2 linked regions of the Drosophila melanogaster genome follow. The protein of the gene in region 1 interacts with the protein of each later gene in a biochemical or structural test. Each region holds a gene or a part of one and is shown on either strand. Other genes may lie near its edges.

What was found. Proteins that work in one complex are often made in the same cells at the same time.
Region 2: the proteins of kon (region 1) and inaD form a complex in vitro, tested with the Drosophila melanogaster proteins (one study listed by BioGRID).

What each region holds. Positions count from the first base shown.
Region 1 is NT_033779.5:18,500,973-18,505,946, forward strand, and holds the start of kon (kon-tiki), read right to left. Parts: upstream 3,007-4,974; 5' UTR 2,841-3,006; intron 466-2,840; 5' UTR 1-465.
Region 2 is NT_033778.4:22,855,149-22,860,729, reverse strand, and holds inaD (inactivation no afterpotential D), read left to right. Parts: upstream 1-1,935; 5' UTR 1,936-2,131; coding exon 2,132-2,168; intron 2,169-2,518; coding exon 2,519-3,129; intron 3,130-3,183; coding exon 3,184-3,274; intron 3,275-3,336; coding exon 3,337-3,692; intron 3,693-3,756; coding exon 3,757-3,981; intron 3,982-4,040; coding exon 4,041-4,152; intron 4,153-4,209; coding exon 4,210-4,349; intron 4,350-4,409; coding exon 4,410-4,706; intron 4,707-4,776; coding exon 4,777-4,968; 3' UTR 4,969-5,042; downstream 5,043-5,581. Other genes in the region: RpL23 (ribosomal protein L23), read right to left, coding at 5,088-5,285. UniProt on the Drosophila melanogaster protein: Involved in the negative feedback regulation of the light-activated signaling cascade in photoreceptors through a calcium-mediated process.

The sequences.
Region 1 (4,974 bases):
CTTTAATAATTTTGCGTGTTAATTGATTTTTCATGGGGCCACGCATCCGTCGTCGTCTTCGTAGTCTGGGGGCCTCATAAAAATAGCATCATCGGGGGCATCGAGACATCGGAACATTGAGGTTTCCTCTCTAACAGCGGCACAGCATCACGTCCTGGCCCGCTGGCCACATAGACAGATGCTGCATATCATTTCGTTGACAGAAGTCATGCAGGAAGGGGAATCACCTCGAACGTTGCCACCGACTGACTGGCTGACTGACTGACTGACTGACTGTCGCACTAGCTTCCTTTGAAGCGTCTGCTCCTCTTTACTTCCTCGCCCCTTTGAACACACACTTTGCAGCCAACTTTCGCCCGATTACGTTTCAATTTCGTTCGAGTTTTATCATAAACACATTGGACACTGACGACTGATGCGACTAGTCGTTTATTTGTTATTTCTCTTGGCAACTGCTTCACTTCACTGTAATTGGAAATAGATTTATGGGCATTACGCATTTGCTTTCCTTTTTATTTAAATTTTCACTGGTATTTATATGGCACGTTTTATGCATTTATAATTGGTCAGTTGGGTAAATGACATCTACTAGATTTGAACATTAGGTATTTATTAATAATATAATGGAAAATGATTATCACTACTCCATTAAAACTTTATAATAATTTTTCAATCCAGTTATTTAATGAATTCATTCGCTGACTCGGCCATGTTTATTTTCATTGATTTTATGCTCAATTTGATTTTATATTCCTCGGTTATTATATACAGCTTCCACTTGAGTCATTCATTTGCTATTTTAATTGCCATAGATTTTAAGCCAAACAAATCTCAAATAAATTCAAGTACCCGGGACCCCGATGCTTTGGGGTTACTTATGAAGCTACGTATGTATACCATTGATTAGCGTATCTACAGATACTTTATGGAGACTTAATTGAGTTGCTGCCGCAGCAAGCTGAGGCACGACTATGCTCCTCCACTTCAGTGGAAATTGCTGCACAGTTGAGTAAAATTTATTGTATTTTTTCGGTGGTGACGGAGTGGGGGGATCACCCATAAAAAGTGGCCTTAAGTGGCCGGACAGCTTAAGCTCTTTCCCAGCAATACGAGGGATTTGGTCTTATATGAAGTGGAATTTCTAGTTCAAAATTTTGCAACACCAGTCAAAGTTCATGGGCCTTGTTTCGGTACGGTAGCCGAGAAGTGTTCATAGGCCCAAAATAGGCACTCTTTCAAGTTTAGAATGCAAATCGAGAGGGACTTGTAATTTCGAAGGGAGACGTCCCCAGAGGAAAAGTCAACTTCGGGCGACGCCGAAACGTCAACAACTGTGACTGGAAAATGAATTATTTACGCCGGGGGTATCTAAAAATACTGCGCCAGACTCTGTTATGTTTATGCATTTATTTCCCAAGGCAAACTGCAGCACGAAACTGCGGCAGGTTCGACATCATGAGGTCAATTGCACAGATACTGCCTCCAGGAATATCAGTCGTGGTGTCTTGCATTCTCGTTAAGTTCGCTCTGCTAATTCAGCTTGTTAATTTTTATATGCACCGCCCAAGTTCTTGTCGTTCCGAATACTTTTATAGCCCGTCGCAGCAGTCAAAATACAATTTGAAACGCCTTGCCGCTGCAGACGACACCGAAACCGAAAAAATAAAGTGACAATCGCCAGGGTGCATTTTATGACAGACGCGTGTTCCCTCTTTCCGACCAAACTTTTTCTCCCCATTAACATAAAAATTAATAAATGTATCTACCGGATAGTCGGAATCTGCCAGCTGCCGCTACAAGCACTTTGGGAAAGTTCTTTCATACTAGTTTATATTTTTTATGGCAATTAAAAATTGGTGGCACACAAGCTTTTGTGAAAACAAAAGGCCAACAAAATACCGCTCTTACCGAATCTAAAAATTGATTTGATAAGCCATGAAAACGGCGTTTTCATTTGGAAAATTGGTAGGCGTCGCTACCCACGCCGATTTGTACGCTTTCCTAACTCAACAAGAGACCTCCAAGGTGTGCGGACTTTTCCTACTCCATCTCAGTTGCAGTCGTTGATTTAGTCACACTCTTTTCGGGCACTCTGATTTATGATCGCCGAGTACTGCGATTGATGAATGGAGTTGTGCTCTGGTGCGATTTCAGCACCATATGTCACAAATATGAATTTTATTGGTGCATATATCCACGGGCGGAGTCAAATGGGTACAGTTTAAATTTTGGGCAATCTTTTAGCAAAAGGAAAATTTTAAATAATTTTAAACTTTTTTCTTATGGGATTGGGTATATTTAGTTATTATTCAACTTTTTTTTGATACTTGAATGATTCTTGAATGTCATTTTCAAGATTATTAATTTGAATTAAATTTAATTCAAATATTTTTTTAGTTGGCACACAGTTTCTGTTTTTCACATTGGGTTTTCGGCAATTATTTTTATTTTCCCAATTTTGATTCATTCATTTTCTCGACTTTCTGTCCGCGATTTCAGCACCTCATTTTTCACACTCTGTATGCCTTAAAATTAAATGATTTATATTTTGCCTAGCTGCTTCTGCACACAGTTTTCGTTTACTTCCGTTGAGATCACTGACTTTGTTTGACTTAGCCCTTTGGCAATTTTCACAGAATCATCAGAATGGGCGGTATTCACGGTCAATTTGCAAAGTTCTGTATCTTTTCGTATTTTAAGATTTATCTACCAAACGCACAACAACAAACGCTTTCATTCACAATGAGTTTTCAGCCGGAATTCTTGACAGAACAGTGCCGACCGTAAAAATGGGGAGGAAAGCCAGAAACTTAAAAATAAATTAAGTTTCTATTTCTTACACATATCCACTGGCCCACTCACGTTTGGAAAAACTCTGAAGGGGCGTGCGGTCAGAGTTTTCGGCGTTTTCCGATTGCCGCCACCCGCGCCAAGAACCAACCGAATTTCCCGCTTTCCGATAAGCAAACGAACCGAACACGCCGACGATTTCTCACAGACTGAGCCGAGAGGAAAGAAAATTCCGCACGCAGTAGTGCGCTCGCTCGAAGTGCCCAATGAGCCCCGGACCAGACCCCATGGTTCCCGTTCCCTGAAAGGCCGCCGATGCCTCCGATGTCGATTTGGTGCCACCACTCCATGGCGCACCCGCGAGTGACTTTTGTGCGCTCTGCGAACGCGCGAACGCAAACGCGAACGCGGCCCAATATGTATCTCTATCTAGATAGCAGTGATGAGCTGCCCGCTCGCGCAGCCAAGGGATGCGAAAGGGATACGTCTGGGAATCAACTGGCTGATCGGAATGAATCATCAACATTAAGGACTTTATAAAAAACTCATTTAAGGATGTTATCTTAGAGAAGACACCATTGTAAGTGTACGTTTTAGTCAGAGACACCACTTAAAGTTTCAGTATGTAGTAAGCATGGCTTTCACAATTATTTGCATTTCTTCAGCAGAAAACGAATTTGCATTGTCGTCATGATAAAATAGTAAACTTTTTACTACTACACAATTGGCCCTGGAATAAGATAAGATATAAGAGGTACTCACTTACTCATAACCAATATAATTTTTTCCAGGACTATACACAATTTAAAACTTACTCTCTATATGGTTCTGTGTGTCATTTATTCTTGGTACTACAAGTGAATCATTGCTGGTAAAGTGAACACCACGCACAATTTTTGGCATCATTAATTCTATACTATATGATTCTCTGAAAAACCATTCACCCGTTTTCCAAATTTGAAAGACTCTGTGCTCATCACTGATACACCGCTGATGACACTCTGTTGTTCGGCTGCTCATTTTCATTGCTGGTTGCTCTCCCCGTTTTCCCCCCTTTTCCTTTTCATTTTCATTTTCCTGTGCAGCACGCGAAAATACGCGGATTGAGCAATTGCGAGCGCCAAGAGGCTGAGGACTTGAAATTTTTCAATTTGTTTAGCGGTGCTTGGACGCTGCTCTCTGATGATCTTCATCTTCATTGTGGATAGCAGGGGTCCCATACATGGTAAAAAATGTCCAATTATTGTATAAATTGTCGAAGAAAGTTTAGGGAAATGATGTACTTAACCAAATATTAAATCATAGTTATTCTTCCAAGGTTTTCACACAATAAAAATATTGTATTGCTTATAAAAGACTAGATATAAGTCCAATTATGACAGTGATTTTTCTTTCGGTGCACCCACACATGTGGCTTCAATTTGGCTGGGCCATCGTCTTTGCCTTCGACTCTGCCACATGTTGTTTGCCTTTCTCTGGATGTCTCTGGATGCCGAGTGATAAAAATCTCTACCATTTTTCATCAGCCTATTAAGTTACATAAGTCACACGGTCCCTGCTTGTTGTTATGCCCACCGTCTGCCCTGTTGTGTAAATATCCTTTTGGCGTGCTAATGAACCCTTTGACACCAGGAACCAGCAAACGGCGACCCGCACCCAGCGATCATTCGACCTCCCTGACGGCTCTCAAAAATTCCTACTGACAGCAGATGCCACATAAATCAGGCGCTGCGAATGAAGAATTCGCCGTGGTCAGCTCATTAATAAATTAAGTGCATAAAATCACACAAAATCACCTAGGGAAACTCCTAAACCAGCTAGTGCACCGAAAAAAGTCAATCGTTTTGACGAAAGATTAACTTTTTGAATCGGTCTTAATAAGATATGATTTGTCAAATTAAAATAATTACGTTGAAAGCATAAGTGGTAGTGGCTCCTTAATTGTGGGCTCTATTTTGATTTTAAGCTGATTTCAAAATAATTTACACTGTTTGATTTGGGGTATATCGAATTTTTCCCAGTGTGCCTTCTATTATTCGCCCCCTTTTAGGGCTGAGCAGAGCAACTGCAGCGCGAAAGGAAACCCTTAGGGGCTGTTCCTGATAACGGCGACAGCAACGACTCCATATCACGCACAATTTGTGTTCGGGAAAATTGTTCCGGAGGAGTGCCGGCGAGAGCGTC
Region 2 (5,581 bases), on another chromosome or scaffold:
TATTATTCCAAATCCGAATCGTTGCCTCAAGTGTTTTGGCGCAGAAAACTGTAATTTTTATTCATTTCCAGGACGCAGTCTGAAGTGCCTGCTAAACGATTATTAGCAATTTGATATAACTGCATGTAAGTACAACACGAGAACAAGTCAACAACGGATTCGCCTGCACACACACACACACACACACACACACAGACACGTGTGGCCACTTACATAAGGACGAGTGGGTGTATGTGTGTGAGTGTGTTTGCCTGTGTGACAGCCAACAGTGGAAAATCACTTCAGTTAACTAAATCCCCGCAACAACCATGCGCCGACTGCGCCGCAGCAGCACGACTTCTGCAGGAGCGGACAGAGAGAGAGAGAGAGAGAAGGAGAGAGAGAAACAGAGAGCGGAACAGCCGAAAAGGACACGGCACAAAGCAGCCATTGCAGGGGCGTGGCCTGCGGCCAGAGAGCCAATCGGAGGGCGAGGTCTTGCGAACAGCGACGTCGGCAGCGGCAGAGGCTGCAAGGGACGAGGAGAGAGCGGGGCGGGGCTGGGGGAAGAGGTGGAAAAGGGGGCGGCAGCGTTAAGCTCATTGCCATATTTTCGCTGTGCTCTCTTTTGAATTTACTTTACTAACAAAACATGACTGTTGGGAGGCAAAAAGGAAATTGTTTTATCAAATGGGTTTCCTTACGCTTTTTTATTATGAAATTAATTTCCAGCATCGTTTCGCAGTCGTTGACGTTCCACTCCCATCGCTCTCACTCCCACTCTCCGTTGGGTTCGCCATTTTCCAGTTTAAACCCCATTTTGCGCCCAGCTCCTTTGAGCATGTGTTTACTCTAGTTTTCCTTTGGAGCTGCCTTAGCCATTCCACTTTCGTTTCATTCCGTTCGGGCAATGTTCGGGAAATGTTTGCATAGTCATATTCTCCCTTCCCTGCCTCCAGTTTCCTTTTTTCATACCGCCTTTCCCCCCGACAAAGGCATTAAAATGCAAATCTTGATTATGAATTTAAGCTCGGCAGACAAATTAAATTTATTTGCCACTCGAAAGATAAAAATCTTGAAAGTTTTATTTGATTACCGCTTGTGTCTGGTTCAGAAGTTCCCCAGCAATCCTTACCAATTCGCATTGAAATTGTTGCCTACTTTTTGGGGCTATATTATTGATACTGAATATATACAGTTCATATTCAATATCATATCATTGTCACCTTACATTTTATATTTATTTACTCTTTATTCTTCGGTATTTTGTGCGCATTTTATTATTGTTTTTTTATTAAGGATATTATATGTTTTAAAAATGTCCCCCACAAATTGTTGTTATTTGCAGTGCCGATATAGAAGCTCTCGCCCAGGTAAAAGTGTGTGAGACATATGTTATTCAGTTGTAAGTGCAATGAAAGAAAAATATAAAATCGATGGGCATTGCTGGTCAACACTTGGTGGGCTTCTCCTGGCGGAGTGTTGAGTTCAGCACGGGCCAAATCGTACCAACAAATTAATAACTTGATAGGGCCAATAAAGGTACATGGGTATCCATTTTCCCCTAGCCTTCACATCCGCGATGGTAACCCATATAATGGCCGTCTTCGGGGAGCTGGGTGTTTTGTGAGTGGTGTCATAACAGACAGTGAAAGTTACTCAATTCATTGGAGGCACCTCCTCCGAATCGATAGCACTGTACTGCAAGGTAATATTTTAATGGGTAATCTCAAGATACGAAACATTTTCATTATTATTAGTAGAATTTTTCTTTTACTCAAGCATTCTTTAGAAGGAAAGTTTGTGAAAGTGTCTTAGCATATATGTATGAACTACATGCATCTGGTACTCTAAGATCAACCCTGCTGACCAGTGTAATCGATACGAAAATCATACTCAAAATAGAATGGCCACTAAGTCAGTTAGCAAGAATGTTCGCCCGCTAATTGTAAAATCAGTTTAGGCGCACTTTTCAATGGACTCAAATCGGGCGCAGCCAACGCGGAATATTCACAAATAATAATTAAGTGAAAACCCATAACAATAAATATTCGATATTACATTTGAGCTTAATTCGGTGCGCTTAATGTCCGGTCAGTGAGTCGCGAGTTTTTGGCTAGGATTACGGAGCAGTCGATCTCAAGCAGCGAGGATGGTTCAGTTCCTGGGCAAACAGGGCACCGCGGGTGGTCAGTGTCCATTGAGTGGTTTCATGACCAACTGCTAATCAAATTTGCAGCTAGTCCCGAAAGAACTTGACCTTCCAAAGGTCACTCAATACTCGTTTTGTGTTTTATGAATCAAATAAAACAAAATTTGAACAAAAGCCAATTCAATTGACTTTATTGATTCTTAAGAATCCTGTGAGAAATATGTTTATGTAATGAACTTAACCTTAACATTTATATAAACGATTATACAATATTGGTGAAAATTATTTTGCGAAAGGATACCAAGTGGGATAAGGACCCCAATAAATATTTATTAGTAATAGCTTCACATTTGTCTTAGTCGTACTTTAACAATACGTTGTAAATAGTTTTTATTTCATTTGGAATGCACAATCCTTTCCCAGAGCTCATTCACATGGTGACCCTGGACAAGACGGGCAAGAAGTCCTTCGGCATCTGCATAGTGCGCGGCGAGGTGAAGGATTCGCCCAACACCAAGACCACCGGCATCTTCATCAAGGGCATTGTGCCCGACAGTCCCGCGCATCTGTGTGGTCGCCTAAAGGTTGGCGATCGGATCCTCTCGCTCAACGGAAAGGATGTGCGCAACTCCACCGAACAGGCGGTCATCGATCTCATCAAGGAGGCGGACTTCAAGATCGAACTGGAGATTCAGACCTTCGACAAGAGCGATGAGCAGCAGGCCAAGTCAGATCCGCGGAGCAATGGCTACATGCAGGCCAAGAACAAGTTCAACCAGGAGCAGACCACCAACAACAATGCGTCCGGAGGTCAGGGAATGGGGCAAGGTCAGGGTCAGGGTCAGGGAATGGCTGGCATGAACCGGCAGCAATCGATGCAGAAGCGGAATACCACATTCACGGCCTCGATGCGTCAGAAGCATAGTAACTACGCCGACGAGGATGACGAGGACACCCGGGACATGACCGGTCGCATTCGCACGGAGGCGGGTTATGAGGTGGGTTAACCCAAGGTCGCCACCCATCGCTCTACTAACTTATAAGTACCTTAGATCGATCGAGCATCCGCCGGTAATTGCAAACTCAACAAGCAGGAAAAGGATCGCGACAAGGAGCAGGAAGATGAATTTGGCTACACGATGGGTAAGACTCAATTGAAGCCATTAAAAAATGTCAGTCACACAGCACGTGAATGCCATTCCCAGCTAAGATCAACAAGCGGTACAACATGATGAAGGATCTGCGCAGGATCGAGGTCCAGAGGGACGCCAGCAAGCCACTGGGACTCGCACTCGCTGGCCACAAGGACCGCCAGAAGATGGCCTGCTTTGTTGCCGGTGTGGATCCCAACGGAGCATTGGGTAGCGTGGACATCAAACCGGGCGACGAGATCGTCGAGGTCAACGGCAATGTGCTGAAGAATCGCTGCCACTTGAACGCTTCCGCCGTGTTCAAGAACGTGGATGGGGATAAGCTCGTGATGATCACCTCGCGACGCAAGCCCAACGATGAGGGCATGTGCGTCAAGCCCATCAAGAAGTTCCCCACCGCGTCTGATGAGGTCCGTACTTTTCACTTCTTTTCGGATGGATCCTGCGATAAAATGTCCTTCCCTTCTATTCCAGACTAAGTTTATCTTCGACCAGTTTCCCAAGGCGCGCACGGTGCAGGTGCGCAAGGAGGGTTTCCTGGGCATCATGGTCATCTATGGCAAGCACGCTGAGGTGGGAAGTGGCATTTTCATCTCGGATCTGAGAGAGGGATCGAATGCCGAGTTGGCGGGCGTGAAAGTGGGCGACATGCTGCTGGCCGTTAATCAGGATGTAACACTGGAATCCAACTACGATGATGTGAGTCGTCAGGAAGCCCTCCAACCACTTAGTTTAAAACCATTTCATATCCACTTCAGGCTACTGGACTGCTTAAACGTGCCGAGGGCGTAGTGACCATGATTCTATTGACTCTCAAGAGCGAGGAGGCGATAAAGGCTGAGAAGGCGGCGGAAGAGAAAAAGAAGGAGGGTAGGTATTGCGTCCAAGCAAGTTCAAAACTGACATCTTCATCCCGATAACTCACAGAGGCCAAGAAAGAGGAGGAAAAGCCACAGGAACCCGCCACAGCCGAGATCAAGCCGAACAAAAAGATACTCATTGAGTTGAAGGTGGAAAAGAAGCCAATGGGCGTCATCGTCTGCGGCGGCAAGAACAACCATGTCACGGTGGGCTATCTGAACTTTCTGTTTCTGCAAGAAGTACCTTAAACAACTTTTCCCTGACAGACTGGCTGTGTAATCACCCACGTTTATCCGGAGGGACAAGTGGCAGCCGACAAGCGCCTCAAGATCTTTGACCACATTTGCGATATAAATGGTACGCCAATCCACGTGGGATCCATGACGACACTGAAGGTCCATCAGTTATTCCACACCACATACGAGAAAGCGGTCACCCTAACGGTCTTCCGCGCTGATCCTCCGGAGCTGGAAAAGTTTAACGTTGACCTTATGAAAAAAGCAGGCAAGGAGCTGGGCCTGTCGCTTTCTCCCAACGAAATTGGATGTACCATCGCGGACTTGGTGAGTGCACATACACCACTGGTATACAGTGGTAGGAAGGCTCAACCCTAAGTAACTACTTTCTCGACAGATTCAAGGACAATACCCGGAGATAGACAGCAAACTGCAGCGCGGCGATATTATCACCAAATTCAATGGCGATGCCTTGGAGGGTCTTCCGTTCCAGGTGTGCTACGCCTTGTTCAAGGGAGCCAACGGCAAGGTATCGATGGAAGTGACACGACCCAAGCCCACTCTACGTACGGAGGCACCCAAGGCCTAGAGACGATCCTCATTCTCCTCCTCCGGTAGCGAAGCAGTGCAGCAATTCAATAAAAGAACCAACAATTCGAATTCAAAACAATCTGTTTTCCGTTGTGGGTTTATTGAAAAGGAAACTCCTTAGGCTATAGAGCTTGCATTGGATGCAATACGGGGCCACAGATCGGCGCATTCCTTGGCCACCGGTCCAGTGATGGCCGAGCCCTTCATTTCGCCCTTGTTGTTTACTATTACCCCGGCATTGTCCTCAAAGTATATAAACACCCCGTCCCTCCTCCTGAACGGTTTGCGCTGCCGAATAACCACGGCAGGCATGACCTGGAAACAAATGAAAATAGTAGTTAGCAAAGTTGCTCGGCAGTGTGCAAACCTCCTGCTGCATCGGTTAGTTATGCAAAAGTGCGTTGTTATAGGTGGGGGAATTATGAGAAGTGCAGTGAAACCGTTTTATAAACCTTCTTCACTACAATTTTAAATTCTTATCAATAAACAAAAATATTAAAAACGTGAGTTTGGTGCGATAAGCTATCTTAGCCGGCACAAAACATGTGGGGAAAATTTATTGGAAGCGTAAGGAGAAACCTTCCACGTCTAATACAAATCTATCTATATTA